Regions from separate parts of the Mus musculus genome. Here regions 1, 2, 3, 5 and 6 are each reported to be linked to region 4. The links are microRNA targets in miRTarBase. Many come from high-throughput screens and were not tested one by one. Region 4 holds a microRNA gene; each other region holds the end of a gene's coding sequence.

Region 1 (5,232 bases), not on the chromosome of region 4:
TGTATTTCTTTCAGCTTTTTGAATTGTTAACTAGAAAAACATTTCTTCCTGTGGTTCTGAGACCTAAGGCACAGCACCTAGAAAGAACACTTTCAGTAACTGGTAAATGGTGCTTTATTCTAGTCTAACATTGTAGTTCTGTTACAGTGAAAGGTGATGACCTTCAGGCCATTAAAAAGGAGCTGACTCAGATAAAACAAAAAGTGGATTCTCTTCTGGAAAGCCTGGAAAAAATTGAAAAAGAACAAAGCAAGCAAGCAGGTAATAGTCTTTTAATTTTCTAATTGAATTTGGGTTATCTTCCTAAGGTGGTTTAATGTATATGCAAATTGGGCTGTTTGGAAGGGGCATTAATTTATTTGGAAAACTTTACTTTTGTTCTTTGATGATTAATGGGAATTGTCTATATCCTGTGGGCAACACTTGCCCCTGGACAGACTTGTCCTTCTCATCCCCAGTAGAGATGAAGAATGAAAAGTCTGAAGAAGAGCAGAGCAGCGCCTCTGTGAAGAAAGATGAGACTAATGTGAAGATGGAGTCTGAGGCAGGTGCAGATGACTCTGCTGAGGAGGGTGACCTGCTGGATGATGACGATAATGAAGATCGGGGGGATGACCAGGTGATTACCTTTGGAAAAAAGAAAGTTGGGAGGACTGGGGTCCAGGGATGAGAAGAGTACCTCTAACTCTCCCTTATTTGTGTCTTTCTCACAGCTGGAGTTGAAGGATGATGAAAAAGAGCCTGAGGAAGGAGAAGACGACAGAGACAGCGCCAATGGGGAGGATGACTCTTAAGCACATAGTGGAGCTTAGAAATCTTATCCCATTATTCATTTACCTAGGCGTTTGTGGGAGATGAAAGTAACACCAGGTCATCTCCCCTGGGGTCTTCTGCACATTCTCACTGTTGTCCCGCCTTACCCTCCCTGTGTTCATTAATTCATGATTGCCCTGCGCCTAGTTACAGTTCCACTTCCTTTGATGCTCCGTAGTACTTTCGTTAAGTCTCACCCTGTAAGTTTTGCTTTAATTTTGATACCTCTTTGACTTAACAATAAAAAGTTGTATGGTTTTTATCAACTGTCTCCAAAATAATCTCTTGTTATGCAGGGAGTACAGTTCTTCCCATTCATGACTTCAGTAGTTGCTTCCCTAACTGCAGAGGCATCTCATTTACTTGTAACCCCAAGAGCAGCTTTGCATTAGAGGTGTGTGTTTTCCCTCACGTGAGTGGGACTGTTACAACACGAATGTAACCATGTATTTTTGTGAATGGGAGTTGGCATGTCAAATGCATCTTACAGGAAAATAGTGTAATAGTCTTAATATTTGTTTTCTAAAGTTATACCATGGGTTATTTTTGTGAACAGCCTGATGTTTGGGATCTTTTTCTCAAAAATAAACAGTTCCTTATTAAACCAGGAATTTGAAGGAAAGACAATTTTTTTTTTTCCGAGACAGGATTTTTCTATATAGGCCTGGCTGTCCTGGAACCCACTTTGTAGACCAGGCTGGCCTGGAACTCAGAGATCTGCCTGCCTCTGCCTCCTGAGTGCTGGGATTAAAGCCGTGCGCCACCACACCCTGCTGGAAAGAAAGTTTTTCAATTACATTTTTTTTTTAATAGCAGCCTCCACAAATCGTTAGGTTGTATTAAATATAATCTTCATGCATACCAATATATATGAATAAAAGTCATTTTGAGAGCATTGTTAACTTTAAATATTTTTGACACGGAGTGCTTGAATGTTCAGTTACTGATTAAAACCCAGGTTTCTTTATTGCATTCTCAACCTGTGCCTCAAAAGTTTCAAAATAGGAAAGCATTTGTCTTTCCCGTTTTATATAGCATTTGCCTTCCTAAGAACTGAGTCTATAACGAGAGTTATAATTACCCATGTGAAGTACTCTTACCCCTTTTCTTGATTTGTTTGAGTCAGCTTGGAACATTTTGCTGTGTAAGACCTAACATAAGGTAAAGGTATAAACAGATTTGGGGGCTTGTTTGTTTATTTTTGTATAGCAGGCTATTCAAATCTTTTATGCACACAGACTTTCTACTTCTCAAAAAGACCCTGTTGTGTATATCTAGCATACAGCTGCAAGTCTATGCTTTCATGCTATGCATTGTAGGCAAAAGTAACCCATGATAAAACTGAGGAGAGGCTGATCTAGGGGCTTCCCTTGGCTCCAGTGTGCAAATATAAAAATGGCTTTTATTGTGACCCCCCTCTGCCCCTTCCCCTAATCTTGATATTGTCTTGGGTTTTTGAGGAATTGGCTAGATATCAGAGGTTAAAGATGCTAATAAATAAAACCTGTTTAAATATGCTGTTAGAAGCTGGTGTGTACAAAATGCTGGGGTGGGTTCAATTAGTTCAGTATTGGGTACTTTCTGATATTGGGTATTGTATTTATTCAGGTGACTCCCCCGCCCCCTCCCCCCAAAAAAAGCAGTTGGGAAATTTGAGAATAAAGACTGTGGTTCTGTCCCTTTTCATAGTTGGTATATACATCAGCAAAAGACTCAGGAGCCTGTGTCTTCATAGGAACACTAAGTGCCAGCATGTGACTAAAAAAGGGTGTCATCCCTGGCCCTCCCTCAAACTGCTGTTGCTAGTTTATTTTGGAAACTATTTAGAACTATTTAGATATTGTTAGAGAACTATTTAGGATATTTTACTGGTGGTATTAAACTAAGTTAATACTAAAACTTGTCAAGTTAAAATGTTCACAGGTTTATTCCACTATGAGAATATCTTAAGTCTTTCAAAGTTGTGAGATTTTGTTCATTTCTAGTTTTTTAAAAAAGATTGGGGTGGAAGATGGCATCAGATCTGATGTGGCTGCTGGGATTTGAATTCAAAATGTCACTGCTCCCAACCAGTGAGCCATGTCTCTAGGCCTCCTTTCTAGTTGGGAATACAGAGAATTAGGAAATAATGTAGAGGACTGGAGAGATGACTCAGTGGTTAAGAGCACTGACTGTTCTGAAGGTCCTGAGTTCAAATCCCAGCAATCACATGGTAGCTCACAACCACCTATAATGAGATCTGACTCTTGGAGTGTAGTACAGTTTTATGAATTTCAGGAATATAAGAGCAGTATCTCCTAACCCATTCCCAAATCTTTTCAGTTTCTGCTGTTCCTTGATTCCAAGATAACCTTGAGTTTTCTGTGTGTCGTTATGGGTAACCAAGAAGGTTCCACAGGTAAAAGTATTTGTCTTGTGAGCCCCTGCTCTGAGTTTGATTCCTGGGATACCTATATAAAGGTGCAAGGAGAGCTCTCACCTCATGTGCACTTTGGCATATGCACTCATCCACATATCTCACACAAGAGTATGTGTATTTAAATGTACTGACTCAGTAACAGAATAGCACCTTAAAATTTACATAAGCCATAAGTGAGACACATTGGCTCTCCACTTCCTATTACCTGAAGATTCTGGACCAAAGTGTCTTTTTTTTGGACAGGTTCTCTCTGTGTAGCCCTTGCTGTCATGGAACTAGCTCTAGATCAGGCTGCTCATGAACTAGAGATCCACCTGCCTCTAAGGCCTGTGCCACTATTTCCCTGCTACTCTGAAAAAAAATTTTTTTTTAATTTTTTTTTTTTTTTTTTTTTTTTTTTTTTTTTTTGGTCTTTTCGAGACAGGGTTTCTCTGTGTAGCCCTGGCTGTTCTGGAACTCACTCTAGACCAGGCTGGCCTTGAACTCAGAAATCCGCTTGCCTCTGCCTCCTGAGTGCTGGGATTAAAGGCGTGCGCCACCACTGCTGGGCTAAGATATATATACACACACCTTGCACCTTTATATATGAAATACATAGGAAACAGACAGCCAGGGCTACACAGAGAAACCCTGTGTCTTGGGTGTTGGGGAGGTTTAAATGTTTCCATCAAAGCTTAGGAATCCACCCACTTCATAGTGCAGCCCACTTCCCAGCGCTATCCCATGGCCTTGGGCCTCAGCAAGGGCCACAAGGTGACAGCAAGCCGCGCCTCACCAAGCACACCAAGTTCGTGCGGAGCATGATCCGGGAGGTGTGCGGCTTCGCAACCAACAAACGACAACTCCAGTTGCTCAAAGTGTCCAAGGACAAGTGCGCACTCAAGTTCATTAAGAGAGTGGTCAGTGGTGGCACACACATTTAATCCCAGCACTTGGGAGGCAGATTTCTGAGTTCGAGGCCAGTCTGGTCTACAGAGTGAGTTCCAGGACAGCCAAGGCTACACGGAGAAACCCTGTCTCTAAAAACAAAGGGTGGGCACGCACACCCACGCCAGGAGAAAGCCGGAGGAGCTGAGCAACGGACTGGCAGCCATGAGGAAAGCGGCAGCTAAAAAGGATTGATGAACCCTCTCCAATAAAAGTTCCTACAAAAGAAAAAAATGCTTAGGAATCTATGGACTTTGACTTCTATGGATGTCTGCCTTGCCTGTCCTAGTCATGTAAAAAAGTATCCATGTACCAAAGCGCTCTTGATTCTCAGCCAGTGGTCTTAATGGGATGAGGTAGTATAGACAGACAGCCACACTCAGCTGCCAGTCTGTCTCACCCAGACCCTTATTAACTTGTGTAGAGGGTCTGTGACTGAAAACCTTAGCTAAATATGTTGTGTGCAGAACTTTGCACAGAGCTGCTTCCGTAACACTGCCTGCCTGCTATCAAGGCTTCGTTCAGAAGGCTTTGGCTGCCCTCAAACTGCTTTTTTTTACATTGTTTTGTTTTTCGAGAGAGGGTTTCTCTGTGTAGCTCTGCCTGTCCTGGAACTCGCTTTGTAGACCAGCCTGGCCTCGAACTCAGAAATCTGCCTGCCTCTGCCTCCCTGAATGCTGGGATTAAAGGCGTGCGCCACCACGTCCGACTTCAAACTGCTTTTATGTTGCAGCTGCTCCTCTGCTCTATCAGATTTCCCATATTGGGCTAGTCTCAGCTTCTGAGGGCTATTTTAGTGTTCTGCCTTTAGCTCCAGTAGGAACAACCTTTTGTAAAATCTGATCCACAAGGAAGATCGAACAGTACACCCATGTCTGGTATAGCCTCTGTCCATCTGGGAATACAATCTTCCTACTGTCTCCTTCAGTGGGTCAATCAGGCATGAGCCCAGTATATTTATTTCCTGGTGCTTTCTAGGTTTTGGGTGGGTTTTGTTGGTTACAATCTCTCTCTCTCTCTCTCTCTCTCTCTCTCTCTCTCCTTCCCTCTCCTCGTGTCTGTCTGTCTGTCTC
Region 2 (5,232 bases), not on the chromosome of region 4:
TCTTCTTTTGAAATGGAATTCCAACTGCTACAAAGGACAATATTCACACCGGGAAGTAGAAATTAATGGGAGAACTGGAAAATGCATTCATATGGGCCATAAGTCCCTTCTGAAAAGTTAAAGATGATATTGACCTACGCAGTGTTGTAAAAGAAATGCTTGGTTCTATAACATCATTCTTTTTTTAAGGTTTATTTTTGAATTTTTAAATTATTTTTTAAGTATTACTTTTTAAAGATTTATTTATTTATTTAATGTATATGAGTACACTATGTCTTCAGACACACCAGAAGAGGGCGTCAGATCTCATTACAGATGGCTGTGAGCCACCGTGTGAGTTCTGGAATTTGAACTCAGGACCTCTGGAAGAGCAGTCAGTGCTCTTAACCTCTGAGCTATCTCTCCAGCCCCTATTTTTATTATTTTTAAATCGTTTATGTATGTGTGTATGTGCACATTAGTACAGGTTTGGTGGCATCAGGCAAGCGATCCCCTCCTAGGACTAGAGTTACAGGCAGCTGTGATCTCACCAAAGCCCATGTTGGGGACCAAACTGAGAGCTCTTCAAACTCTGAACCATCATCTCTAGTCCCAAGGTTCCTCTTACTTTAGTTCTGAGATAAGGTCTCTCTGTGTAACTCTGGCTGTCCTGCCCCAAACCATTTAGATAAGGCTGGCTTTGAACTCAGAGCAACTTGCCTGCCTCTGTGTCTGCAGTGTTAGAGTTAAAAATAGGTGTGGTGGTGGCAGCTGAGGAGTAGCTCAGTTAAATCATGAGGTGTGGGGAGGAACTGGGAAATGTAGAGGGAGAGAAAACTGTAATCAGGATATATTGTATGAAGAAAGAATCTATTTTCAATAAAAAGGAAAAGGGGGATGAGGTGAGGAGGGGAGATAGCTCAATTGGTATGGTGCTTCCTGAACAAGCATTAGGTGTGAGCTCAGATGTTCAGTGTTCACTTAAAAGCCATGTGGAAGGGCTCAGGCTTGACTCGCTTTTCATCCCAGTACTCTGGAGGCAGAAGCATGTAGATCTCTGTTAGTCTCAGGCTACCTAGGGCAACATAAATCAGACTGTCTTAATACAATAAAAGTAAAAGAAGAAAGAAAGCTAAGTTCAGTGGTGTAGATCTGTGACCCCAGTCTGGGAAATCCCTGCGACATTCTCTTTGGTTAGCAAGCTCCAGGTAAGCTCCTGTCTCAGCAACAGCATGTCTCAAAAACTAGGGTGGAAGACAGCCAAGGAAGATAGCCATGCATATGCGCATACAAGTGCGGAGAACCTAGCCTCAAATGTACATCCACATATGCAAAACACACACAAACATCATACAAAAACAGAATACTTTTGCTAAATTAATGAAGACTGGGAGGCCATTTTACAGTTTGCATTTTCTGATATCTTTTTTTTTTTTTTTTGCCTAGGTGATGGACCACCTGGACTATTCAACAAATGAAGAAAATCCAGTGACGACTGATGAGCAGATTGTACAACAGTAATTACGTGGACTTACAATGATGTGTTATTGATTTCCTACAAATACATTTTGGCCTTTTTTTCTTTTTTGCTCTTGGAGACAGAGGCAGGACTGGAGTTCAGTCCTGCCTCTGTCTCCCAAAGGTTTAGTTAGGACTATAGCTGGACAACACTATGCCCAGCAAGTTTTAAATCAAAGTTTGAGTTGAAAATTGGGAACATTTACAGCGATGTTTGCAAATCTGTATATTTTTATGAGTTGGTAAAAATCCCATCATACATAGTGAAAATGCATTTTCTTTTAATTATGTTAAAATTGTGCCTTCACAGTCAGCTTAAAAACATAGCGTTTGTGTAGTTTCCAAACGAATTATATACATTATATTTTTCTAAAAAAGAAAAAAAAAAGCTACCCTGACCTTCCTTTGTACTTTTCTTAATGAAATATTTCTCCAAATGCTAAGGTTAGATCATGTGTAAGTGTCAAAGCAAGTTTCTGAGTATATTAAAGATTTATGTAACTTTTAACCCCTCTACAGAAATAAATACTTAAGACTGCAAGAAGACAGTTCATGTATATGGGTGTTTTGCCTGTATGCATCTGTCTGTACACCACATTTGTGCCTGGTACCTGGTGCCTGGTGCCAATGGAGACCAGAGGAGGGTGTTGGATTCCCTGGGACTGGAGTTACAGATGGTTGTCAGCTGCCCTTTGTGTTCTGGGAATCAAACCCAGGTCCTCAGAAAGAGCAGCAAGTGCTCCTAACTGCTGAGCCATCTCTTCATCCTTGTCGTTTAAGCTTTTAAAAACGTGTAACCCTTTTTAAACCTGAGAACCTAAATTCTTTCATCTGTGTACACATGCTACTAGACTGTTTTTTAGGTCGAAGGAAACATAGAAGTAGTTGTTAGAAGGACACCAGAACTGAATCTAGTTCTTATCTAGTTCCTATGGTTTACTTGAAGATACAGATTAAACTTCTGTATTAAACTTCAGTTTGTTTTTTTCTGATCTTTGAAATTTGATTCCATTAAGTAAGATTTCTTCTTTTAAATGTTTTTCTTAACTGACTAGATAGTATATGTTTAACTTATTGTTTGTCTTGACTATCCTGACAATACTTATATCATCTTCACCCTGCTTTCCAGTCCTTCTTGTGTAAGTGAGGTCTGGTAACCACAAGTGTTCTGAAGTCCATCTCTTTTCTCACCTCTAAAATGAGTGAGTGCTCCACTCATTTAACCACTTTGCTAGCTTGCAACCTGAAAAAAAAATTTCCTTCTGCAGGGCGTGGTGGCGCACGCCTTTGATCCCAGCACTCGGGAGGCAGAGGCAGGCGGATTTCTGAGTTTGGGGCCAGCCTGGTCTACAGAGTGAGTTCCAGGACAGCCAGAGCTACACAGAGAAACCCTGCCTCAAAAACAAAACAAAACAAAACAAACAAACAAAGAAACAAATACACACAGATATATTTCCGTCTGATTCTTTGCAAAATCTCAGGTGTTTTTCTAGAAATTAGAGGTGAAATTATCTTCAAGTTTTGTTTTGTTTTTTTAAAATTTCTCTAAGAAAGTACCAGGTGACAAGTCATCGCAGAAGCGCAGGCTTTTGTGTTTCTGTATCAACATTGCACAGGAGACGTGAGCAGTCCAGTCGTTCATGTTAAGGCAAAGCCAGCTTCTTCAAAGTAAAACAGGCATACTGAAAAATGGGTTAGACCTTTGATATTTGAACTAAAGTTCACATTAAATGCTTTTTTGTTTAATTGTTAACTTTTGCTGAGTAGATGACAAAGAAGCGGGACTGCTTCGTTCTTCTAGGTACCGGATGGGGTCTTTTGTTTACAGTAAAGCTATCTGGCAAGAGATAAGTGCCATTTACAATTCTAACTGTACTTTCACATCAACTGTCAATAAAATGCCTGCCAAAATACAGCTGTTTTAGTAACATCTGCATTCCCATTCAAGTCGCGATATTCAAAAGCAACAGTTACAATTTTATGGAGACTATTAAAGAAAATTATTCTTTTTAAAACCACATTGAAATAAGATGATATCTCAAAATAATTTGGTTTTATTAATTTGTAGCTAATATCTTAATTTCCTAATCTAAACTTTTGCTCCAGAAAACCATGAACACATCTACAAATCTGAATTCCAACTTATTGGAAACATTTTCTATTTTACCCAGCCATCATATTGTCTTCTATATGGTCTGGAGTGTATCAGTGTTAGAGTACTTGCCTACCATGTTCAAAGTGCCTTCCCCAGCACTGCCAATGAAACAACTTACTAAGTAGCTATAAATAACAAAAGAATTTCCTAGAGTCTCTCTACCCTCACTGCCAATTTCATGTTTACTTAAACAGCCCTCCTAGCAACATAGTTGAAAATACCTCCATAGAGAAAATAAAAGACAGAAATACTTTGTCTTGGAAATCAAAACTAATAGATACCAGAGTTGAAAATTTGTCTCTGAAAATTTGTCATCTCTTCCTCTCTTGCTAACCTAACACCAATACTTTTTAAGAGGTAGATAAGTTGGATTTCTTTCCCCTTAAACATGCTTTTAAAACAAAATATATTGTATTTATTAGTATTTACTACAAAATAAAATACTTGCTAGAAAGTTCCACACTTGTGGCTTATCAAATAGAAATCACTGATTTTTTTTGTTTGTTTGTTAGTTTTTTTTCAAGACAGAGGTCTCTCTGTGTAGCCCTGGCTGTCCTGGAGCTCACTCTGTAGACCAGATGGGCTTCTAATGCAGAGATCTGCCTGCCTCTGCCTCCCGAGTGCTGGGAAAATATTAATCATAAATGCATTTTTATTTTCTTCTAGCTTGTGGCTGACTTTAATTCGCAATTACACTTTATACTAGAATGTGATTCGATGCCCTTTTGAAGGAAATCTGTCCTTCCATATGCTGCTGGCATTCATGTATTTTAGTTACTGTGCATACAGGTTTGGGTAGAGTGGCATTTTATAATAACTCCAATGAGCTTTCTAAGTTCCTTTGCTCTGTCAATGTCCACATTTCTAAAGCGATTTTTCCGTCATGGGGCGCTTATCCAGGGCTGTGCACACACTGAGCAAGTGCTGCGCCCACCTCTGAGCAGTATGTCCAGCTCCTCCGTCTCGGCTCTAGGTCAAAGCAGGATTATTTTACATTGGATGAAAATATATCTAGTCTGTTAAACTGATTCGCTAGAACTCCGGTTTGATTCCTGTCAGTGAACTTTCAGAGCTGGCAGTTGGACTCCCGATGGGTAGACTACACTAGTTAAAGCAGCCTTTGTAGTTTTCTGTAAATAAGAAAAATAGACTGGATCAACTCAAGGATGTAGTGGTTGATCAGTTCAGCACGTCACGTGGTGGGTTTGACTAGGCATTACAAATACTATAAACAGCGTTCCTATTCCTTTGAAATATACATAAAAAATACCTACCATATATCTGGTTGGCCTTCAACTTCCCCCATAGGACAAGTGAGTGTAAATTCAGTAGCTTTTTGTCCACTTTCCCCCCTAATACATTGTACTCAAATTAGTAACTTTTTAAGAATGCATAATTGGATTTTTACTTCTTAGATGATTGGTTTGAATATGAGATTCTTTTTCTAACACTTTTCTATGTAAGTTAGTGTAAATTAATATTTTTATAACACTATTAGACTTTTTATGGAACATGATTTAAGACTTAAATTTTTGGAGTATTAATTTAGCTGTAAGTTAAGCTCTCTTCATCATGATGTG
Region 3 (5,232 bases), not on the chromosome of region 4:
AAAGCAAGGGACGGACAGGCCCAATCAGCACCCCTTTCTTCCTTCAACTAGGAACACACAAAGCACCTGCTCTTCACAAAACTTGTCTTGGTGCGTGCTCTGGGTTGCTACGTTCAAGGCTCAAAGTCTTCAACACTAAAATCTGTCCCAGAGAACAAACTGCTCAACTGCACACTCTGCTCCTCCCCCCGCCCCACCACACACACACACACACACACACACACACACACACAGACACAGACAATTTGTGCTCAAACTAAAATCAATCTCAGTGTTCTGCTTCACCTGACCCACTGTATCATCATAAACACAGACATGTATGTGTAAAATATCACAATGAATACTGTTAATCTGTGCGCTTGATGTGATAATAGCTGTTTTAGGAAGACCAATAAAGCCCAACAGTGCTGGTGGTGTGAAGGACCTGGAGCTTTCTTTCTGGTGGGATTGAAAGTACTTTGAGAAACAACTGGGTAGCCATTTGTAAAGTTAAACAAACACCCTTCTCAGAAGTGTCCAGTCATCGTACCTGTAGCCCTTTCTACGAACCCCAGCCCCAGCAACATGCATCCTTCATTGCTAAGCCACTCGCATCACAGTGGAGACCTTCTCTGACCCCAGCCTAAGGGTGTGAAGAAAAAGGAGGCCAGCCAAGCTGTGTATGTCAGCTTTTCAACCTCACTGTTCAAGCAATGAATTTCCTTTAGGCGGTGATTGGCCTGGCTTTCAATTACCTCTACTATAAAGTCCCACGTAAGATTCCATAAACACTTAGTGAAATAACCCCTCTGATCCATTTGAATGCCATTTTTTCCTCTGTGACAAATATTTTCATATCTCACACAGACTAATTTTCTGATCTTGTGTGATGCTTCATTTTGATTTTCAACATGACTAGATTAAGAAATGCCCAGGAGATTAAAAAGCTCAGCACTGTTTGCAGAGCATTAGATCACAGGGGCTCAGACCAACCCAGTGTATTAATATTTTGGTAGATTCCTGTGATGGAGAGGATGAGAGGCAGGTGCAATGCCTAGTTGGAGGACACATATGACTAGAGAATGGCTTTTGAGCTGTATCCTGGCCTGGCCTCTCTCTGTATCTGCTTCCTGTCTACCATGAAGGTCCTCTATCACAAGGACCTAGTACCATCATGTTCTGCCTACACAGACAGAGCTGAGCACCATGGACTGAACTCTTTGAAACTATAAGCTAAAACAACTTCTTAGTCCTTAAGTTGTTTCTGTCAGATAGTTGGTCCGAGCAATGAGAAAATTGACAAGTGCGTCTCCACACCTGAAATTTTAGCAAGCTTCCTATACAAGCCCACTATTATGATGGACAGGTATCTCCTTGTCAACGTACTCAAACTCTTAACTCTTTATTTTTCTCATCCCAAAATGGCCTCCTCCACTTTCCTGCTGTTATTCAATGGTATTCTAAGCATGGCTTCCTAAGACCCAAACCTCAGCATTTAATCTGACAATTTTTTTTAACAGATCTTGCCTGAGTTTATTTGTAAAAATAGCATAGGACACTGGTCATCTGCAAATAGTGTGTGGCTAGGTGTGTCACAGCAGTCTACCTGTCCTCACACTGGCAGGAGCCTTTTCTGTGGGGCCTTCACAGGGGCCTGGACACCTTTGGGAGCTGAAGCCTGGGTCTTAGCTGGAGCTTTGGCCCATGTCTTGGTCTGAACCTTAGGCTTTGGTTGGCAGAGCCTTTGGCCCTTGGCCATGCAGCTTTGAATCTGCTTCCCAAGCTTGGGGTGAGCTATGAAAGCCAGGCAGCTGAGTTTGCAGCTGGGGCCCTTTGGCATCTTGGACTTGATGGCCTGACGCTTCACCAGGGCCTTGATGGCCTCTGCGCGCGCACTCACTGCCTTTGCATTCATTGTTGGCCTGCATCTTCTTCAGGCCTTTTTTGTTGTGCGTCTTGGCAAAGCACATGTTCCTCAGGAACTTGGTGCTAACCCCCTTAAGAGGTTCATATCTCTGTGACGGGGATTTCTTGATGCCATTTCTGTACCACTGGCGGGACTGGTTGTGTGTGGTGTGATTCTTGGACTTGGCCATGTCTGCACGGTAACCTGAGGCTCCCTAATCTGGCAATTCTATCTCCTTCCACCTTTGCCTTACCCAGTTCATCAGTGGATACCGTCTATAATTTCTATGTCCTATGCATTATTTACTCTCCATTGCCACTGCTTCCAATCTAAGGTCTGGGTCTCCATGTCCATCATTTTGGCTACCCAACAGATTTCTAAAATCTTTCTGCTCCTGCTCTGGTTCACTTTTATTCAATCTACTCTATTTCTTCTTACGGTGTGCTATTAAAGAGACATGGGATAAAGTTACTCCCCTGAGTCAAGGTCCTTACAGGTTCATGATACATCCAGAATAATATCAAGATACGTTAGTGTGACTGACAACATCTGCTGCGTGGGTCTCTCATACTTCAGCCTCTATTTCTCTATTCTAAACACACCAGGCTTTCCTTCAGGGATCTCAGTGGACCTATGCCCTGCCTCCTCCACAGCAAGCATGCCATGAGGCCTTTGCAGAAAGATATTTTCCCTTCCTGGAAGTTCCTTTGCCTCTTCCTGAGCTCTTCTCACTCATATGAAGCATTACTATTTGCAACTGTGTATTTTTGAGCACTTACTACTCTATTGTCAACTTCTTCCCTCAGATTCTAGATTCTGTGAGGGCAGAACCATGTATTTCTTTCTGGGTACACCCACAACAGTCAGAAAAAATGCTCAATAATAACTTTGGATGTAACTCATTTTACTTCTTCGGCTTATCTATTTTGAAGTTTGGCCTATAGCACACTCAGACTTTCTCATCTAAACATCTGAATTACTATACTTTTCCCATTGCTAGCAATGGTGGATTTGCCGGACCTTCATTGTCTCAAGTTAGAGGGAGTACTACACTGGCCGGTTGAGAGATGAGAATACCTGAGGCTGACTGTTCTATACGTGCATTCTGAGAAACTACTAATTGGCCTGGAGACAAGCCAGATACAACACATCATGTCTTATAGCGGATTCATGATGAAACAAATCAATCCCAACCCACAGAGATACAATAGAAAAATAAGAAAGACGTAAATAGCTATATGGAAGATGGGTCAGGAAATGAAGTAAGCGAAAAGCATGAATCCCTACTGAGACTGGTGTTTAAGCTGAGCTCCAGGCAGTTGAGAGGTCACATAGGCAAAAGGAAGGATGTATAGTATAGAGTGAGCAAAGCATACTCCAGAAAGCTAAAGTCTCCACTACAGACTAAAAGCAGAGAGAAGAGAAGACTGACGATATCATTGCCTTTTGAAAATCTCCATCAATAGCGGTCGGGCAGGTCATGAGACCGTGAGCTTTTCAAGGCTTGAACTTTCCATTCAACTGTGACTTCACAGTTGTGCTATGTTACTAATACAACTCACATATCAGGACATACTCTCAAGGGTTCATCACCAGTCCCAGCTCTGTCCTGTTCCTTCAGGTTCTGTTGTAGCAGAGGTGTCCCCATTGTGGGAAGCAGCTGTCTGCTACAGTTTCTCTGACCAAAGCACACTTAGGTGGCTTACAAGGTAAGGAAAGATTCCAATACATAGTAACCTTGTGTTTTTTATCTTTCTCCTGTTTGTGAACTTCTTAAGCATAAGTAATAAATATGATGAATTCAATATGTCATTCAATAAAATAATACTATTTAAAATATATGCCTCTTCAGTTAGCAAATAAAAAGCACTTCTAAGAAGCAAACAAAAGAGAGTAAAAGGGCAGGAGCAACATGACCAAAGTAGGTCATATACACGAAAATGTCACACATAAACCTATTATCCTGTATAAGTAACATATGCTAACAACAAAGACTTCTCCAGGACTTTCAGACATGCCCAATCAGCCCTTCATACACCGCTGAACAAATGACCCTACAAGGTGCTAAACAGGAAGGCTAATTCTTCTAGGCCTTTCATGCTCCATGATCACAGGAAGTTGCTGCTGTATCTTCAGATGACAAAGTGAATGCTAAAGAGACCGCTGCAAATTCCTGCCTCTTAACCCCACGTGTTCTTCCTTAGGAAAGCCACCAGTAAGGCAGAAATTGGGATCAAGGATTTTCAAGTGAGAAAATAAAGATTTAAGAAAATATATTGCATGAAACGAAAGGACTGCCCTGACTTGTGACTAACGGAGCCAGAGGATGCACCATAATGTCTTACAGTGACATGCATTTCAGCAGTCAGTCTGTAGAATGACTTTGGGATGCTGGGCTAAGGTGTCTCACTTCCTTGTCTAATTTTACATACACTGATGCAGATGGGTTTGTTCCCGGTCTCTCTGGCTACTGAAAGGCCGCTCGGATGACTCTATCACTCAGGGGCTGGGTAGGTCGGAAATTGTCTCCCAAAATCCCATCGCAGCCCTCCACCAGTTCTGCCCCCTTGACATGTGTCCTCAGCCTTCGAAATTCTTCTATCTGGAAAGAGAAGCAGAATAAAGAAGATTAGTCACTAACCATACATATGCAAGTTCAGAATTTCATAAGCAATTTAAAATATCCATAAATTATAGTATAAAAGAGAAAATGAAAGGTGAACCTCAAAAACAGAAAAAGAGAACTGGAAAAAAAAACCCAGTGGTTAAGAAAGCATGCTGCCCTTGCAGAGGACCTGAGTCCAGTGCCCAGTACCCACAATAGGGATATAATCCCCACTTCTGGCCTCCAGGGGTACTGCACACACACACACACACACACACACACACACACACACACTAAAATAATAATAAATCAAAAAATTTTAAGCCAGTAAGACAGATTTGGTTGTTCCAGACCTAAGGATATTAGACAAGGGCCTTAAAAGAAGACAATAGGAAACCGGGTAATTCCATTGTCTACAGAAACCTACTAGGTTTGTTAATGTGGAAATCCAACCACACAAAATTTTTGTGTCAGCTTACTACACACAGAGAATAAGGGGGAGAACAAACGAGTAAATGCTCTGAGCCTTCCCGAGGGCATCCCTAGCTGACCTGCTCTGACGTCACTGGGTGTGAGATGATTTGGTGTTAGATTTGCTGTGAGATTGCATAGAATACTCAAAAAAAAAAAATCCAGATATTCATCTGATAGAGCATTAGAGCCCTGAACATCTAAAGTATTAGCCCCCCCCCCCCACCAAAGAAACCTAAATATTGAGAAAATAAACAACCTAATCTGAAAG
Region 4 (4,000 bases):
AGCTGGGTCTTGGCCAGCACGAGGCTTTCAGGGATTGAACTCAGGTAATCAAGCTTAGTAGCCAGGGCCTCTACCTACTGAGTCATGAAAGAAGGCTACGCTGGGTACCCCTCACCAGCTCGGAACTCTGGAGCCTCACACCCACTCATGCTTCTGCCTCCCCAGTGCCGGGGTCACACAAGCACGTGCCACCCAACCAGGGTTTGGTACCATATTTATAGCTTCCTGTGAGCCTATAAGTCTTTCAAATAAAACTGAAAAAGGAAAAGCCCACAACACAGATCCTCAGGGACCTTAGCCACCTGGGTGCAACAGTAACCGAGGTGAGAGGCGTCTAGTCCAGGCACAAACAACGTGCACCTTCTCAGCAGACCTGCTCGCTGCACCAGAGGACCCACAGGGTTGAGAAATCAGAAGGTTTGCAGCAGTGGTTTATTAAATAGACTAAACTAGTGAAGACCAGCAGCCAGGGTGTGCTGCCATGTGGAGGGTGCAGTGTTCTGACCTGATCCATGGTCCTGACTGATAATGGGCCCAACTTGGGCTGACTTCAGCTCTGCCACTGTGATTGTAGGAGCTCCCATCTCTCATTTCCTATCAAGCCACCACCAGTTCTGACTAAGGGCATTTCTGCAACTGTCCTCAGAGCTTCACATAGCAGCTGAGGTACAGAGTGGCTGAGCAACACCTAAGGCAACACCACAGATGAGACCAGGCCCTAGGTCATATGAGCACTATCACTGAGCTATGCCTTGGGCCAAACTTCTGCTCTCTGAGTACTGCCAGGTTTTTTTCTCGAGTGTTCCCCCCACCCTCACCTCTGAATAAGGCGAACACTTACTGTGGCTGGTGAGGCACGGGTGGTGTGGGAGTAAGACTGGCTGGCATTGCCTAGCATGTAGCCGCCTTGGATCACGTAGGTGCCTGCTCCGCTGCCGCTGCTGCCGCCACTGCCACCACCACTGCTGCCGCCTCCCCCATTGCCCCCTGCACCCACACTGCTGTTGCTGGCCCCAGCCTCGCTGCTGGATGAGCTGGCGACAATTGGGCTGCCGGACACATACATGGGCACTGAGCCGCTGCTGGCCACCGTCTGGGAAGTAGCCGGCGTGCTGACCTGGGCAGCCGTGCCCGAAGCCTCATAGTAGCTGGTGCCTGCCGTCTGCGTGTAGATAGGCGTCTCCGGGTACTGGTAGGTGCTAGAGCGGCTGCCAAGAAGCAGACAGGAAGCAATGGTCACCACCTTGTACAAGGAGGCAGGGGTTCCAGGAGAGGACCAGAGAAGCCACAGAAACACCAGTGTGGCACCTTCACATATAAGGGACTGGGGACAGCCTGAGCACTGGATGGGCAACCACTTTCTTGTTTTCTAAAACATGTCTTTATATTAACTTATTACTTGGAGAGGGGCACATGTGTTCCGTGGCATACACACAAAGGTCAGAGACAACTTGTGGGAGGCGGGGCTCTCCTTCCACTGTGGGTCCTGGAGACTGAACTCAGACTGTAAAGCCCGGCAGCAAGCACTGCTGAGCCATTGAACCAGCCCTCGCTGGGCACTGAGCCACAGCACTCCAGCACAGGAATCACTCTCCTCACTGGTACTGAGCCACAGCACTCACTGGTACTGAACCACTGCACTCCAGCACAGGAATCAATTTCCTTACTGCAGAAGAGGAGAAAACAAGACAGGGTCCAGAATGCAGAACGTACTTCCTCGGCAACAACGACAAACAGTTCTCAGTCCAGGGAAGGGAGATACAGGAGGGAAGGCAAAGTACAAAGGACTGCAGGGTAGGCAGAGGGGCCGCCTTGGCTACCTCTTCCTGGCAGGGAGCTGCCCCTCCAACTCAGAATATGTCCTGAGTGCCGCATAGGGTAATAAGCCGCAGATCTAAGAGGGGCAACTGTAGCAAGCAAGCCACCCTAACATTTGGGCCCATCTCTGCAGGCTGCAGACTAGAGGGGGTGAGGCAGGAAGAGGAGACGCAACATGATTGCCTTGAGTCCTCCACTGGGTACCGATGGACAGCCAGAAACGAGAGGTTGGGATGAGGAAAAGACCACCCTGTGTGTAGGCAGAAGGCTCTCTGTGGGGAGGGGACAGGCAGGGCCACCTCTCACTTTTGCTCTTTGAGCCCTCCCAATGTGACAGTGATTAAAGCAGGAAAACTTGAGCCTTGCAGGTGGCTCAGTGGGTGGGGATGTTTGCCATCAAGACCGAAGACCTGGGGTTGATCCCCAAAGCCACACAGCAAACAGACTCCAGTGTTAGCATTGGCACTACGCTCAATACATGGTGCATACAACCCCCCCCCATCATCCCATGCACACACTCGAACACATGTGTATACACACACACACACACACACACACACACACACACACACACACACACACACACACACACACACACGAGGGCCAGCAAGGTGGCTCTGGGGTCAGAGACTCACCACATGAACCTCTTACCTAGTACTTGAGTTCTGACCTCAGGTCATGACCTTGCTTCTCAGGTCTGATAAGCAAGAAGCAAGCCATTTACTGATTTATCTCCCTAACCCCCAAGAAAAATTGTAAGACAGAATATGCAAGCCCGAGGAACTGGATTTGCCCCTGCAACCTGTGTAAAGGAGAGAGAAAACGGACTCCTCTAGGTTGTTCTCTGATCTCCACCTGCACCACAGCACATGCACTCTCCCCACACATAAGTCAATATAACAAAAGACAATCCTCCTGCCTCTGCCTCCCCAGTGCTGCTCAAACAGGACAGTTCTATGCTCAGAGCACTTCTGAGTAGAAGCAGAGAAACGGGACACACTAATTACTCTGTGGGACACTGAGGGTCAGATTGAGAACCTGTGGTTCCAGCACGAGAGAGGAAGTGTCAGGCAAATCTCTGAGTTCAAGGCTACCCTGGTCTACAGATCAAGTTCCAGGGCAGTGAGGGCTATACAGAGAGACATTGTCTCAAAAAAAGTTTATGTTGTAAAAATGTATGTATAAATACATATATGTATGCTTTTTCTTTCCCCTTTTCCTGCCTAAAATCCAGATCCATCTAACTGCACAGCTCCTAATTTGTGGAGGTGCCTTCCCAATGGGCCAGTGTCTCTTCTGCTACCAGCTGCCTATATTCCTGGCACCCCACAGGTGTGGGGCTATCACCTGAGCCTTGGGGGCCAGCTGGGAGTTAGAATTGTGGCCCTAACCACATCTGAGCCCTCCTTCCACCCTCTGCCCACTTACATGGCGCTGGCTGTGTAGCTGGCATCGCCACCTTCCACGTACTGCACCTGGCTGGAATACACGTGTGGGACAGGCACCTGAGGGAGTTGCTGTACCTGAAGCAGGAGGAAAAGCAGGGTCATGGGTCAGGGCTGACCACCACCCACGGGTTCACTGATGCCCACATACATCCCCATCTAGAAGGTTGCACATCATGGTTTTCTGAACAACATGGGCCAGAGGTGGGAGGCTTAGGTAGGAGGCTTAGGTGGGGCCAGGTCTCAGTTGTGGCTGGAAAACAGGAGGTGCTGGGATTCTCTGCTTTGGCAAAGAGGTTTCTAAGGCTTATGAGCAAAGGAGGGGATACCAGACAGAATTCTGCAATGGGCTTGAGAGGTGGGTTTGCAATCTAAAAACCGGGCCTGGGGGTTTTCTGGAAACCAAAAAGGTTTCCCAAGCAGATTAGGGGTGGAGCCTGAAGAGGGATCAGTTGATAGAACAACTAGAAACAACTGACAACACCTTAGGGGCAGGTACTGGATAGCCTACCTCCACCCCCAACCCTGGTTTGCAGGAGCCGTGTCTGGGACCCAGTCCCTGAGGCAGAACAAGAATGACTGGCAGCACTTTGGGGGACAGGGTAAAGACATCTCACCCCACCCGCCTTGGGTTGCAGGGGCGAAGCCTGGGAGCCTGGACTTGAAGGCGAGGCAAAGCGGCTTGCTGGGCTGAATGCCCTTCCCCTGCCCGCCCTCCGCCCCCTGCCGTGCCTCCG
Region 5 (5,232 bases), not on the chromosome of region 4:
GATTCTTAGGATCCAAGGTACAGTCAGTCAGGCACAACAGTGATCAGACAGACTGCTTCATGGTCTTTATTTGGCCTTTTCTCCAAAACCTTCTTATAGTGCTTTCATTCAAATTTTGACTACCACATCTGAAGAAAATGTTAGTTCTTGGTTTGGTGTGGGAAACCCCTATTTATGTTCATAATTATTCAACAGATCATTCGACACCAGCCAGCCAGTCTCCTCATTCCTCTAACCCAAGCAGCCTGCCCAGTTCTCCTCCAACGCATAACCATAATTCTGCTCCATTCTCTAATTTTGGACCCATTGGGACTCCAGATAACAGGGATAGGCGGCCTGCAGATAGGTGGAAAACTGATAAACCAGGTGAGATCCACATTTCTTTATCTACAAGGCAAAGGGGGGTGGCTTGCTCTGATTTTTGCCTGAAGTTTGATATTTGCCACTTACAAAACATTTTGTATTCTTACCTATTGTTATCTCTTAGCCATGGGTGGTTTTGGTGTTGATTATCTCTCAGCAACGTCATCATCTGAGAGCAGTTGGCATCAGGCTAGCACTCCGAGTGGCACCTGGACAGGCCACGGCCCCTCCATGGAGGATTCCTCTGCTGTCCTCATGGAAAGCCTAAAGGTGAGTGCTCACGTGGCTCCTGCTGCAGCAGTGTCTCTGCTTTTATCCCGGATTGAGAGGCGTCTTGAGTGTGTTGTCAGGGCATCCAAAATGCTAGAGCATTTAGTTTCATCCTAATGTTAAATCCTGTTAAGTTTGAGTTTAGCCTTATTTGACTTATTAAATGAGTATGTAAGCTGGGCGTGGTGGCGCAGGCCTTTAATCTCAGCACTTGGAAGGCAGAGGCAGGCGGATTTCTCAGTTCGAGGCCAGCCTGGTCTACAATGTTTTGTTTGCTGGAAACCTTATATTAAACTTACTGTCATGCCATATGAACTTGACTTAAAACATAGTTGATTTGACTTAAAACATAGTTTGGGCTGGACATGTTGGTGCATGTAATTCCAAAAGAGTGGTCGGAGTAGGAGGAATAACCTTGGCTTGGGGTTTAAAAAGTTGTATTCCACTGTTCATAGTGTCAAAATTATCTTAGTTAGGAACTGTCTAGTCTTGAGAGTTCCATGACTTTTAATAGAGCTGAGTTGATTGGCATTTAGAGTGGATTTAAAGGACAAATTTGTCTTTATGGGTGGCTGAGATTTAAAACAAATCCCTGTCAGACAGCCAAAGCATTTGCCTTCTGCTGACAAGTTTTGGGGCTGTTTTTCAGTCTATCTGGTCCAGTTCCATGATGCATCCTGGGCCCTCCGCTCTGGAGCAGTTGTTAATGCAGCAGAAGCAGAAACAGCAGCGGGGACAAGGTGCCATGAACCCTCCACACTGAGGCCACAGGAGCAACCCAGGGAATGAAGGCTCCATAAACCATGGCATGTTGGGTTTGCAGGACTGACCCACACAGTCTCTGCAGGTGGCAGCTCTCTTGTCTGTTTCTTGCTGTCGAGAGGGTGTAAGTGTTCCACCAGCCCGCTGAGTGTGCACGAAATGTTCGCAGTGCAACAAAAAGAAAAAACCATCAGGAACTCTCGTTCCCCCGGGGCTTTCCGGAGGGAGAGAGGAGCTGCTGTTTGTCCCACTCGGTTACTGATAGCACGCCTCTCACCTTCTCCACCGCGCATGTCCCCAACACGTGGGAAGTGGAAGCTGAGAAGGGAAGGCAGATGGGAGAAACCAATAGGAACTTCTCAGTCCTTTTTTCCTCTTTGGGGAATAAAATAGGAATCCATTATGAGTGCTTTGCTGACTGAGAATGTAGTTGAAATTATTCTTAAACATCTTTTATTATTACTCTCAGTAGCAAAATATCACACTGAATTCTTCCATACACAGGCGTATTTCTAGTCAGTGTGGAGCAAAGACAGTCCCGTTTGCTGCTCCTGTGAGAGGTCAGTGGTGACAGGACAGGGAACTGACCTCTTAAGCCAGTGGGAGTGTTTCATAGGGAGGGTACAAGGCCTCTTAGAAGGTTCTGGGAGAGGCCTTCCTCCAGCCTGGAAACTCCAGCAGGAAATGCCCTTCACTCTGTAGGTGCTCGAGCCCCAATAGAGGATGCAGTGTGGGTAGTGCTGCTGGCCTAGACCAGCAGATGGCTGCTGTACGATTTCAAATTCATGTGGTGGATTCCTACACTTTACAGTAGCGTAGCAAGCAGTCTCAGAAGGCAGGCTAGTTCATTCACGGCCTGGAACCCATTTTAATAGGTGGATGCTTTCAGTGTGGTTCTTTTTGTTGAGTTGGTTTTTGTGTCCCCATCCTGCTTCCCAGCCTCTTGCATCAGTCTCCACCCTTTAGCCATATGCTGTACCGTAGTCATTGTTTTCTTCCTACCGTGTACAACATCTCACCACGAAACAGCAGCATGGGGCCAGCACTTGGGGCCCAAAAGCCTGAAGTCTGAAGAGGAAGGAAGCGGCAGTGCAAGCGTCACTGCAGAGGAGCCGGGCTATGCCCAGTCACAGCTCCTGGCCTTCACCTCGAGGATGAAGTTGAAGGCCACAGAGACAGATGCACACTGTGCACAGAAGAAAACACAGCAGATGCCACTTTGGAGAGGGCAAGAGAAAGGAATAAACTCTATTTGATAATTTATATTAGGAGGAAAGAGGACTGAAGATGTTCTGTGTAGGAACAGAAGAACGGACAGCATTTCTGTTAGTCATTTCCTGGAAAAGTAATATTTTAATGGGAAATTATGGAAACAATCTAAATGTCCAATTGCTGTGCTAGGGTAGGGATTATTTTCTGGGAGGTGTGTGTGTGTGTGCGCGCGTGTGTGTCCCACACATGGCTTTCTACTCTCCCAGAGGGCAAGGGCTAAGTGTGGGAAATAGTGTGGAGCTTAGCTGAAGGACAGCTGTAGAGCAAAGCACATCCAGGAGCCCCAGGTGTCACTGGGGTCTGGGCAGCCCCGAAATGAGATGGGGTAAGGTATTGCTCATTGCTCTTCAGAAAGAGTGCTTGAAGCCCCAGGCTTACTCTATTGCTCTTTTAGTTTGACATGGTATTTGGATTTTTTTTCTTTTTTCTTTTTTTTTTTGTTTTTTTGTTTTTTTGTTTTGTTTTTTGGGTTTTGGTTTTTGTTTTGTTTTGTTTTTGAAAGGTCTGAAAGTGAAACCCTTCACTAAATGGCAAAAGAAACTGTCTGTGCTGCTCCAGTCCCTCCCTGTGTCCATCTTTGTCCTCTCCCTGTCCCTTCCCTGCTACCTTCACCCAGTTTGTGTATGTAAGCTCTGCATTCAGACAGCTGCAGCATTCCGAGGTTGGAAATGTCACTGATTCTTGCACCTTAGACCAGCCAACAGGTTTACCAGTTCCCTCCCTGCAGTACCCACTTCCCAGCTATAGCCCCAGTCTGCATGAGAATTTGGTGTTTGGAATGTTTATGACTCTCTCGGCGGGGTTCCTCGCCTTGCCATCCTCACTGTGGGGTAATGAAGAAGGGGAGGAGAATCTTCATCAACTGGTTTTGTGTAATAAACTTTCGTGTTTTGTTTTGATTTGATTTGATTTGGGGTTGTTTTTCCCCCCTGTCTGTCTGTCTGTGCAAGATCTGCAGCTGCTGAAATCAGCTTTGCCTTTAATTAAACCGTGTTCTCTCCAAGCAGATCGGTGTGTAGAGGATTTATTCTACCTTAAAGGATATAGCAGTAAAAATACAGCTTAGAACTTCAACTGCTCACTTGTCAGCAAGAAACAAAAATGGCCACAACTGGGTAGGCTTGGGGATGGGTTTTGCTTTTCTTAGCATCCAGTGACTTGTTCTAGAAATGCTAGCTTAAAATGTCTGCCATAGCTGGACAGTGGTGGCGCATGCCTTTAATCCCAGCACTTGGGAGGCAGAGGCATCCTCTGGCCTATAAAAGCCATTGAATCTGATGAAAGCCAACAGTGATGGCTGTGATCTGGGGGGTGGTTGATTTCTCTTCCTGTTTGTCCATCTGAGGGACAGAAAGGGCTGTCATTCTAAGAGTTCCATTCTCCTTGGGACTGGATGGTGTGCTTCATGGGAACCTGATTCAATCTGCCTTTTCTTTAATGCAGCTTAAGTTTTTTAATGAGTTGTCTGTGTGTACCTTCAGGATTACATATAAATTTGCTTTAAGCTTCTGGAACCCAAGCAATTAATAAAGGAAGAACCCTTTATTAATTATTTTTCCACTGAACTGTTGGACTTGGACACTGGGTGTCCTGTTTTCCCAGCAGAAAGGTGTGCCCATTGGTGTGCAGCTCTGGGAATTCTTAAGTACATTCACGTAGCCAGCACACACACAAACCTTCATTTCCTTTGCAGAAAATTTGTCTCCCCCTCCTCCATCTGTAAGAAAATCTTCTGAGTTGTCATATTGCTGTGTGACAGGTTCAATTTTAATAGGGAAATGGTAAGTTAGGCCACATTTCCAAACTGGTGTGTCTGTATAGCGCACAGCAGAGATGGGTAAGTCTTGCAAGGGGAAAAACAACACTTTGCTTCAGCTTTGTAGATCCTAGACTTCTCTGGGAATGCCTTCCAAATTCTTGGCTGCACATCCTTCAACAAAAGCCTTCGGGAAAATGCCAACTTTCCCTTTACACTCCCCTTCCAGCCATTCTTCATTCACTGATAAAAAGCAAAATATACACTGATTACTAAAAACGGGAAAGATTGTACCATCGTGAGTGGTCCATTGACCCTATTAGTCATCCCCTGTTCCCATTTATGGTAGCAAAATAACTGGAAAGTAATTTGAATATTAGACTTACCATCTAACGGGGTTCTGTTGTGGATGCAATAAATACACAGTAAAATGTAGAATGAATAAGACTGAACATGAAGCCTCAGGTCAGAATTGTTTTTAAGAAGTAGTTTTATCTGAGCTCTGCTAGAATTCATTTTGATAACATGAAAGGGCATGGTGGTAAGCGCCATAAGGTTCATCAAGGCCTTAAAAATTGGAGCTAGTGATAGGTTTAGTACATTTGTAAAAACTATGCATTATAATAGCTATTTTAGGCTTTTAATGAAATGAATGGTGGCCACACCCAGATTTTCACAAGAATGGTACCCTTCCTGCCCATGTTACCCTGTAATCCCTAGGTTCCTAATAGTCAGGTAAGTCACTGACAATTGGCTGCCTCTGCAGCAGAATGGACCTCCCCTTCTCTCTGGAAAGTACTTGATGGGTT
Region 6 (5,232 bases), not on the chromosome of region 4:
TTCTAGTTTATTATCCAGGAGCTGCAACTAGTAAAGGCCAGCTTAAAAAATTGAACCACCTTTTTCTCTTTTTCTTTGCAGCTGTGAAAATGTCTGACAAGAACCAAATCATTGCCAGGGCTTCCTTGATTGAGCAACTGGTGTCTAAAAGGTATTTTGAGGATATTGGTAAACAGCTTACTGAGCTAGAAATGATTTATGTGTCTAAGGAGCATCTGCAGGAGACAGATGTAGTCAGAGCTGTTTACAGAGTCCTCAAAAACTGCCCATCAGTGACTTTAAAGAAGAAGGCCAAGTGTCTGCTGGCCAAGTGGAGAGGTTTCTATAAGAGTACACACTGCAAACCAAGGCAAAGCCCTAAAGTACTCCACACAAATGCTAATAAAGAAGAAAGTGCAGCAGTTTCTCAGGATGTAAGCCAGGATGAAACCTCAGGCTCTAGCCATAGTGAGATCATGGGTCTCTGCAGTTCTCTCTCTAGGCTGTTACCCCAAGATGCTGCAAAGCCTGCTGCAGCAATTGGATCTGAAAGTAGCACTGCTCAAATGGAAATTAATGAAGGATATTTGAAGGGTGATGACTCTGAATGCACTCGCAAGAGCTCAGGTGTGTTTCAAGGTACTTTAGTGTCTGTGAGATCTAAGTGCGTAGAACTTCTTTACACAGCATTAGCTAGTTCTTGCACAGATCACACAGAAGTGCACATATGGCAGAACTTAGCAAGAGAAATTGAAGAGCACATTTTTACCCTTCATTCAAACAATATCAAAAAATATAAAACTAGTATTCGAAGCAAAGTTGCCAATTTGAAAAACCCCAGAAATTTTCATTTACAACAAAACTTCCTCTCTGGAACCATGTCTGCAAGGGAGTTTGCTGAAATGAGTGTCTTGGACATGGCAAGCCAGGAACTCAAGCAACTGAGAGCTTCCTACACAGAATCCAGCATTCAAGAACATTGCCTTCCCCAATCAGTTGATGGCACATGGACAAATAAAATTAAGTGTAGGCGCTGTGATAAATACAACTGCAAGGTCACTGTGATTGCCAGAGGAACACTTTTCCTTCCAAGTTGGGTGCAGAATTCAAACCCAGATGAACAAATGACCTATGTCATTTGTAATGAATGTGGGGAGCAGTGGTACCATAACAACTGGGTATGCTTGTGATTTGTAAATAATCCTTTTAAGGGCATATGTTTTATATGTATAACCTAACCTTTTGTGCTTGGTTTTTGGTTGTTGTTGTTTTGTTTTTAGTTTGTTTTTTTTTTCTTTTCTTTTTTTGTTTTCCTTCGAGACAGGGTTTCTCTGTTTAGCCCTGGCTGTCCTGGAGACCAGGCTGGCCTCGAACTGAGAAATCCACCTGCTTCTGCCTCCCAAGTGCTGGGACTAAAGGTGTCCGCCACCACTGCCCGGCTTGTGCTCTTTTTTTTTTTTTTTAACAAAATCTTAATCTTATTTTTGCCTTTGGGTTTTAGTTCATGAAAGATGTCATTATATAGCCAAAGGTGGCCCAGTCTCATGAGTGCTTGCATTATAGGCGCACCTGGCTTTATATACTGCTCTTACTACAACCCTAAGACTAAGGAAAGAGAGTTATTTGCCAGAGTGTAGGCCATAGAAAGCTATCACACTACTTTGTGGCCACTTAGTGCTTTACTCAGAGTGGCACTGTAGCTCCACACTACCTGAGAGCATGTTAGAGATGAAACTCTTGCTCCTTAAGTCCTGATCTGCATTTTAACAGAGTCCCCAGGTTATCCTCTGGGGTATTTTGAGAATCACTGACATACATAGCATTAGGCCTGAAGTTCTCAGGAATGACTATATATTAGAATTTTCTGGAGAACATTGAAATGTACTGGTGCCAAGGGCCAAGCCTATACAGTTCAATATGAACCTATGGCCTGGACCCAGTAATCAACACTGCTCTGGTCATTTCTTGGTTCCTGTTAAGTTGCAGTTAGAGTTAGGAACTACCTGTAGATAGTCTCTCATTTGAGCCTTTCTATAGTTCTGAAGAAATTAATGTTATTCTGGAGTTTACAGATGAGGAAAGCAGCCCACTTGCCCAGGTTACACAACTGTATGTAGTCGGCTTCACACTGATCCCAGGTTTTCCAGCTTACTTCTCAAGCAGGTGTGATGGCACATGCCTGTGGTCCAAATACTAGGGAGAATGAGGCAGGGGATTTATGTGAGTTCCGGCCAGTTTGACTTGCAAAGTTCCTGTCTCAAAACTGTTAAAAGGGAATCCTGTTTCAAGCCTGTAATCATAGCGTTGGGAATGCTAAGGCAGAATCCCATAGTTGAGGGCAGCCTGAGTTAGATAGAGAAACACTGCCAAACTCAAAAATATTCAGTCTGAGGATGACTTAATATTGACTTTGTAAGAAGTATACTCTTGGAAATAGGTGCTAAGCAAATAGTGTTTGGGACCTCTAAGCTTATGTGACCGGAGTTTTACTCTTTTGTCCTTAATTTTCTCATTTTCTTTTGACTGGTGAAAAGTTGCAGTGTAAGTTAGAATTTGGCTCGAAGCCTGCTTCCTTAGTTGAATGCCCTGTGTTTTGTTTTTTTTTTTTTTTTTGAGCACTTCAAAAAGTATGATATATAGTTCCTTAATGTTAGGACTCTATATACCTTCAGAGGCATGTGTGTTGGGATTGAAATTCAAATTCTGATCATGTGAAAATGGCACTAGTTGTTAGAGGAAGTCTCTCCTTCAATCTCAGCATTTACTTACATACTAACTGAAGAGAAAATCACGTCTCCTAGTTCTTTGTAAACAGTGTTTACTGATTTGTATGCTTATTCACAAGCCTTTTTATGTGACCATGACTAATTTTTTTCCTTAAAAATAATAAAATGATTGTCTTTCTGGGTTTTGATTTTTTTTTACCATGTAAAACAATTTTATACATAATCAACACAAAACCTTGCATATATGTGCTCCTTTTACAGTTAATCAGGTGATTAGATATACATTTTCTCTTTTGTTGTTTGACAACAATATGTGAAGAGTTTCTATTTTTATAAGACTAGCTTCACTCTGTTGCCTAAGCTGGGTTCAAACTCACACTGGCTGGCCTTAACCTCCAGAGTGCTATGATTGGCAGTGTAAGCCACCATTCATTGATTTTATCATATTAAAGAGTTTTTATCTTAGTTCCATATGAACTCATATTTTAACTAGTTATTATCCCCTAACTCCCCAGTATTCCTTCATTGGGATCTGTAGGCTTTTCTTTATATTTTTACCTCCGTATGACAGTTCCCCAATAGTTGCATAAAACTAGCAAACATTTCTGTTTTAGGTTTTTTGAAGAAATCAACTTGAAGCTGTCAAGTCTGAGTTATATTTTGTTATATTTTCTCCATATGGCATTCCAGGGTGGTTCACCATGGTGCAATGTGTTAGTCCTTTACAGAGTGACTTACAGAGTCATCAACAACTCAAAGCTTTCCCAAAATGTGGTTTCATGTGACTTGGAATGATCTTAAAACCTAGACAGTGGTTGTGCAAGAGCAGCACACACAGCCTATAAAAACCTTGTTTCATTTGTCTAAATCAGTTTGATGTTTGGATTTTCTATGTAACTATGTATTGTTTTTTATATTGCGATTTTGTAAGCTACATTTACCAAAAATAAAAGTATTTGAAATGTAAAAATCTCTTATTCTCCAATATTTTTTTAATTGTATGAGATCTTCCTTATTTCCCATAAGCTCTGTCAGTTAGTTTTGCAACAAGAGATAGGGAAATGGTGATGTAGGTTTCATTCTTTTGGTCAGTGAGACAGTTACATTTTCTAAATATAGACAATGATTTTACACTGTGTCTTATCCCCTAAAAAGAGAAAGAAGTTTCCCCCTCACTCTTTTATTCCCTAAAAGAGAGAAAATAGTTTCTCTTTTCTTCTCCTCTACTCTCCCTCTCCTCTCCCTCTCCTCTCCCTCTTTCTCTCCCTCTCCTCTCCCCCTCTCTCCCCCTCCCTCTCCTCTCCCTCTCTCCCTCTCTCTCCCCCTCTCTCTCCCTCTCTCTCTCCCTCTCCTCTCCCTCTCCTTCTCTCTCTCCCTCTCCTCTCCCTCTCTCTCTCCCCCCTCTCTCCCTCTTTCTCTCCCTCTCCTCTCCCTCCCTCTCTCCCTCTTTCTCTCCCTCTCTCTCTCCCTCTCCTCTCCCTCTCCTCTCCTTCTCTCTCTCCCTTTCCTCTCCCTCTCTCTCTCTCTCCCTCTTCCTCTCCCTCTCTCTCTCCCTCTCCTCTCCTCCTCCCTCTCTCCCCCTCCCTCTCCCTCCCTCTCTCCCTCTCTCCCCCTCTCTCCCTCTCCCTCTCTCTCTCCCCCTTTCTCTCCCACTCCCCCTCTCTCCCCCCTCCCTCTCCCCCCTCCCCCTTCCCCTCCCCCTCTCCTCTTCTTCTTTTTGTTGTTGTTGCAGGGTTTCTCTATATAGTCCTGGTTTCCTGGAACTCACTCTGTAAATGAAGCAGGCTAGCCTCAATCTCAGAGATCTCTCTGGCTCTGCCTCCCAAGTGCTAGGATTAAAGCTGTATGCCATCATTGCCCAGCCAAAGGAGTTTTGTTTTGTTTTGTTTTTTGTTTTTTTTTGTTTTTGTTTTTGTTTTTTACAATTGCTGATGGGGCAGATTCTAATTTAAAATGGCCCTTATAGGAGCAAAGAGCAATTCTGAGGACTCCAAGATTCCGGGAAGGTGCCTGCTAATAAGGAACAGCTGATGTGAATGAGACATGATGTAAAGGACTCCACAGAGTTCCTGAGGTCCATTGTAAGTCATGATAACAATAAGGACTTGGAGGCTTTGGGGGTCTAGGGTGGTTTGTGTTTAAAAAAAATTATTGAACTTAGGTGATTTGTAGTCATGGGATTTGAGTGCCTTTTAGGAAGACCATTGTAGCTGCTTTGTTGAGTGATGAGAGAAACAAGGATGGATGCAGGAACACCAAATAAGTGACCATTAACAATGGTCAAATTAAAGTATAGAAAAAAATAAGCCAGGCGGTGGTGGTGCATGCCTTTAATCCCAGCACTCAGGAGGCAGAGGCAGGCGGATTTCTGAGTTCGAGGCCAGCCTGGTCTACAGAATGAGTTCCAGGACAGCCAGGGCTACACAGAGAAATCCTGTCTCGAGAGAGAGAGAGAGAGAGAGAGAGAGAGAGAGAAATAAAAAAAGGAAAAATATACTTTGGCTGCATCCTGATGGTTAATGGACCC

Evidence for each region. The annotated mature microRNA mmu-miR-709 reads GGAGGCAGAGGCAGGAGGA and lies in region 4 at 2,729-2,747, opposite strand. An mRNA with a match to its seed (bases 2 to 7 or 8) in the 3' UTR can be bound and repressed. Matches are read on the target gene's strand: a 7mer-m8 pairs with bases 2 to 8, a 7mer-A1 pairs with bases 2 to 7 and ends in A, and an 8mer does both.
Region 1: the mRNA of Hnrnpc is a reported target of mmu-miR-709. Seed matches in the 3' UTR shown: 7mer-m8 at 1,535-1,541, 7mer-m8 at 1,541-1,547 and 7mer-A1 at 1,797-1,803.
Region 2: miRTarBase lists Sppl2a as a target of mmu-miR-709. Seed matches in the 3' UTR shown: 7mer-m8 at 1,603-1,609, 8mer at 2,889-2,896, 7mer-m8 at 4,256-4,262 and 7mer-m8 at 4,262-4,268.
Region 3: the mRNA of Car8 is a reported target of mmu-miR-709. The part of its 3' UTR that is shown has no 7-base or 8-base seed match.
Region 5: the mRNA of Ncf2 is a reported target of mmu-miR-709. Seed matches in the 3' UTR shown: 7mer-m8 at 3,903-3,909.
Region 6: miRTarBase lists Tceanc as a target of mmu-miR-709. Seed matches in the 3' UTR shown: 7mer-m8 at 1,372-1,378.

What each region holds. Positions count from the first base shown.
Region 1 is chr14:52,070,642-52,075,873 of GRCm38, reverse strand. Hnrnpc (heterogeneous nuclear ribonucleoprotein C) reads left to right here. Exons shown (of 9, transcript NM_001170981.2): 7 at 148-261; 8 at 438-619; 9 at 714-2,497. The coding sequence ends at 794. Among named protein-coding and RNA genes, the nearest start is that of Hnrnpc, 31 kb to the left of the region's middle.
Region 2 is chr2:126,890,480-126,895,711 of GRCm38, reverse strand. Sppl2a (signal peptide peptidase like 2A) reads left to right here. Exons shown (of 15, transcript NM_023220.2): 15 at 1,426-5,232. The coding sequence ends at 1,500. Among named protein-coding and RNA genes, the nearest start is that of Mir3473g, 9.3 kb to the left of the region's middle.
Region 3 is chr4:8,165,279-8,170,510 of GRCm38, forward strand. Car8 (carbonic anhydrase 8) reads right to left here. Exons shown (of 9, transcript NM_007592.3): 8 at 4,318-4,487. The coding sequence ends at 4,353. Among named protein-coding and RNA genes, the nearest start is that of Car8, 71 kb to the right of the region's middle.
Region 4 is chr8:84,084,914-84,088,913 of GRCm38, reverse strand. Mir709 (microRNA 709) reads right to left here and starts at 2,815; the gene lies at 2,728-2,815. It overlaps Rfx1 (regulatory factor X, 1 (influences HLA class II expression)), which reads right to left. Exons shown (of 21, transcript NM_009055.4): 8 at 3,247-3,341; 9 at 842-1,208.
Region 5 is chr1:152,835,436-152,840,667 of GRCm38, reverse strand. Ncf2 (neutrophil cytosolic factor 2) reads right to left here. Exons shown (of 16, transcript NM_010877.5): 16 at 3,678-4,666. The coding sequence ends at 4,554. It overlaps Smg7 (Smg-7 homolog, nonsense mediated mRNA decay factor (C. elegans)), which reads left to right. Exons shown (of 23, transcript NM_001160256.1): 21 at 196-366; 22 at 488-633; 23 at 1,283-3,673. The coding sequence ends at 1,396. Among named protein-coding and RNA genes, the nearest start is that of Ncf2, 38 kb to the right of the region's middle.
Region 6 is chrX:166,498,255-166,503,486 of GRCm38, reverse strand. Tceanc (transcription elongation factor A (SII) N-terminal and central domain containing) reads left to right here. Exons shown (of 5, transcript NM_001007577.2): 5 at 82-3,675. The coding sequence starts at 90. The coding sequence ends at 1,169. Among named protein-coding and RNA genes, the nearest start is that of Tceanc, 9.6 kb to the left of the region's middle.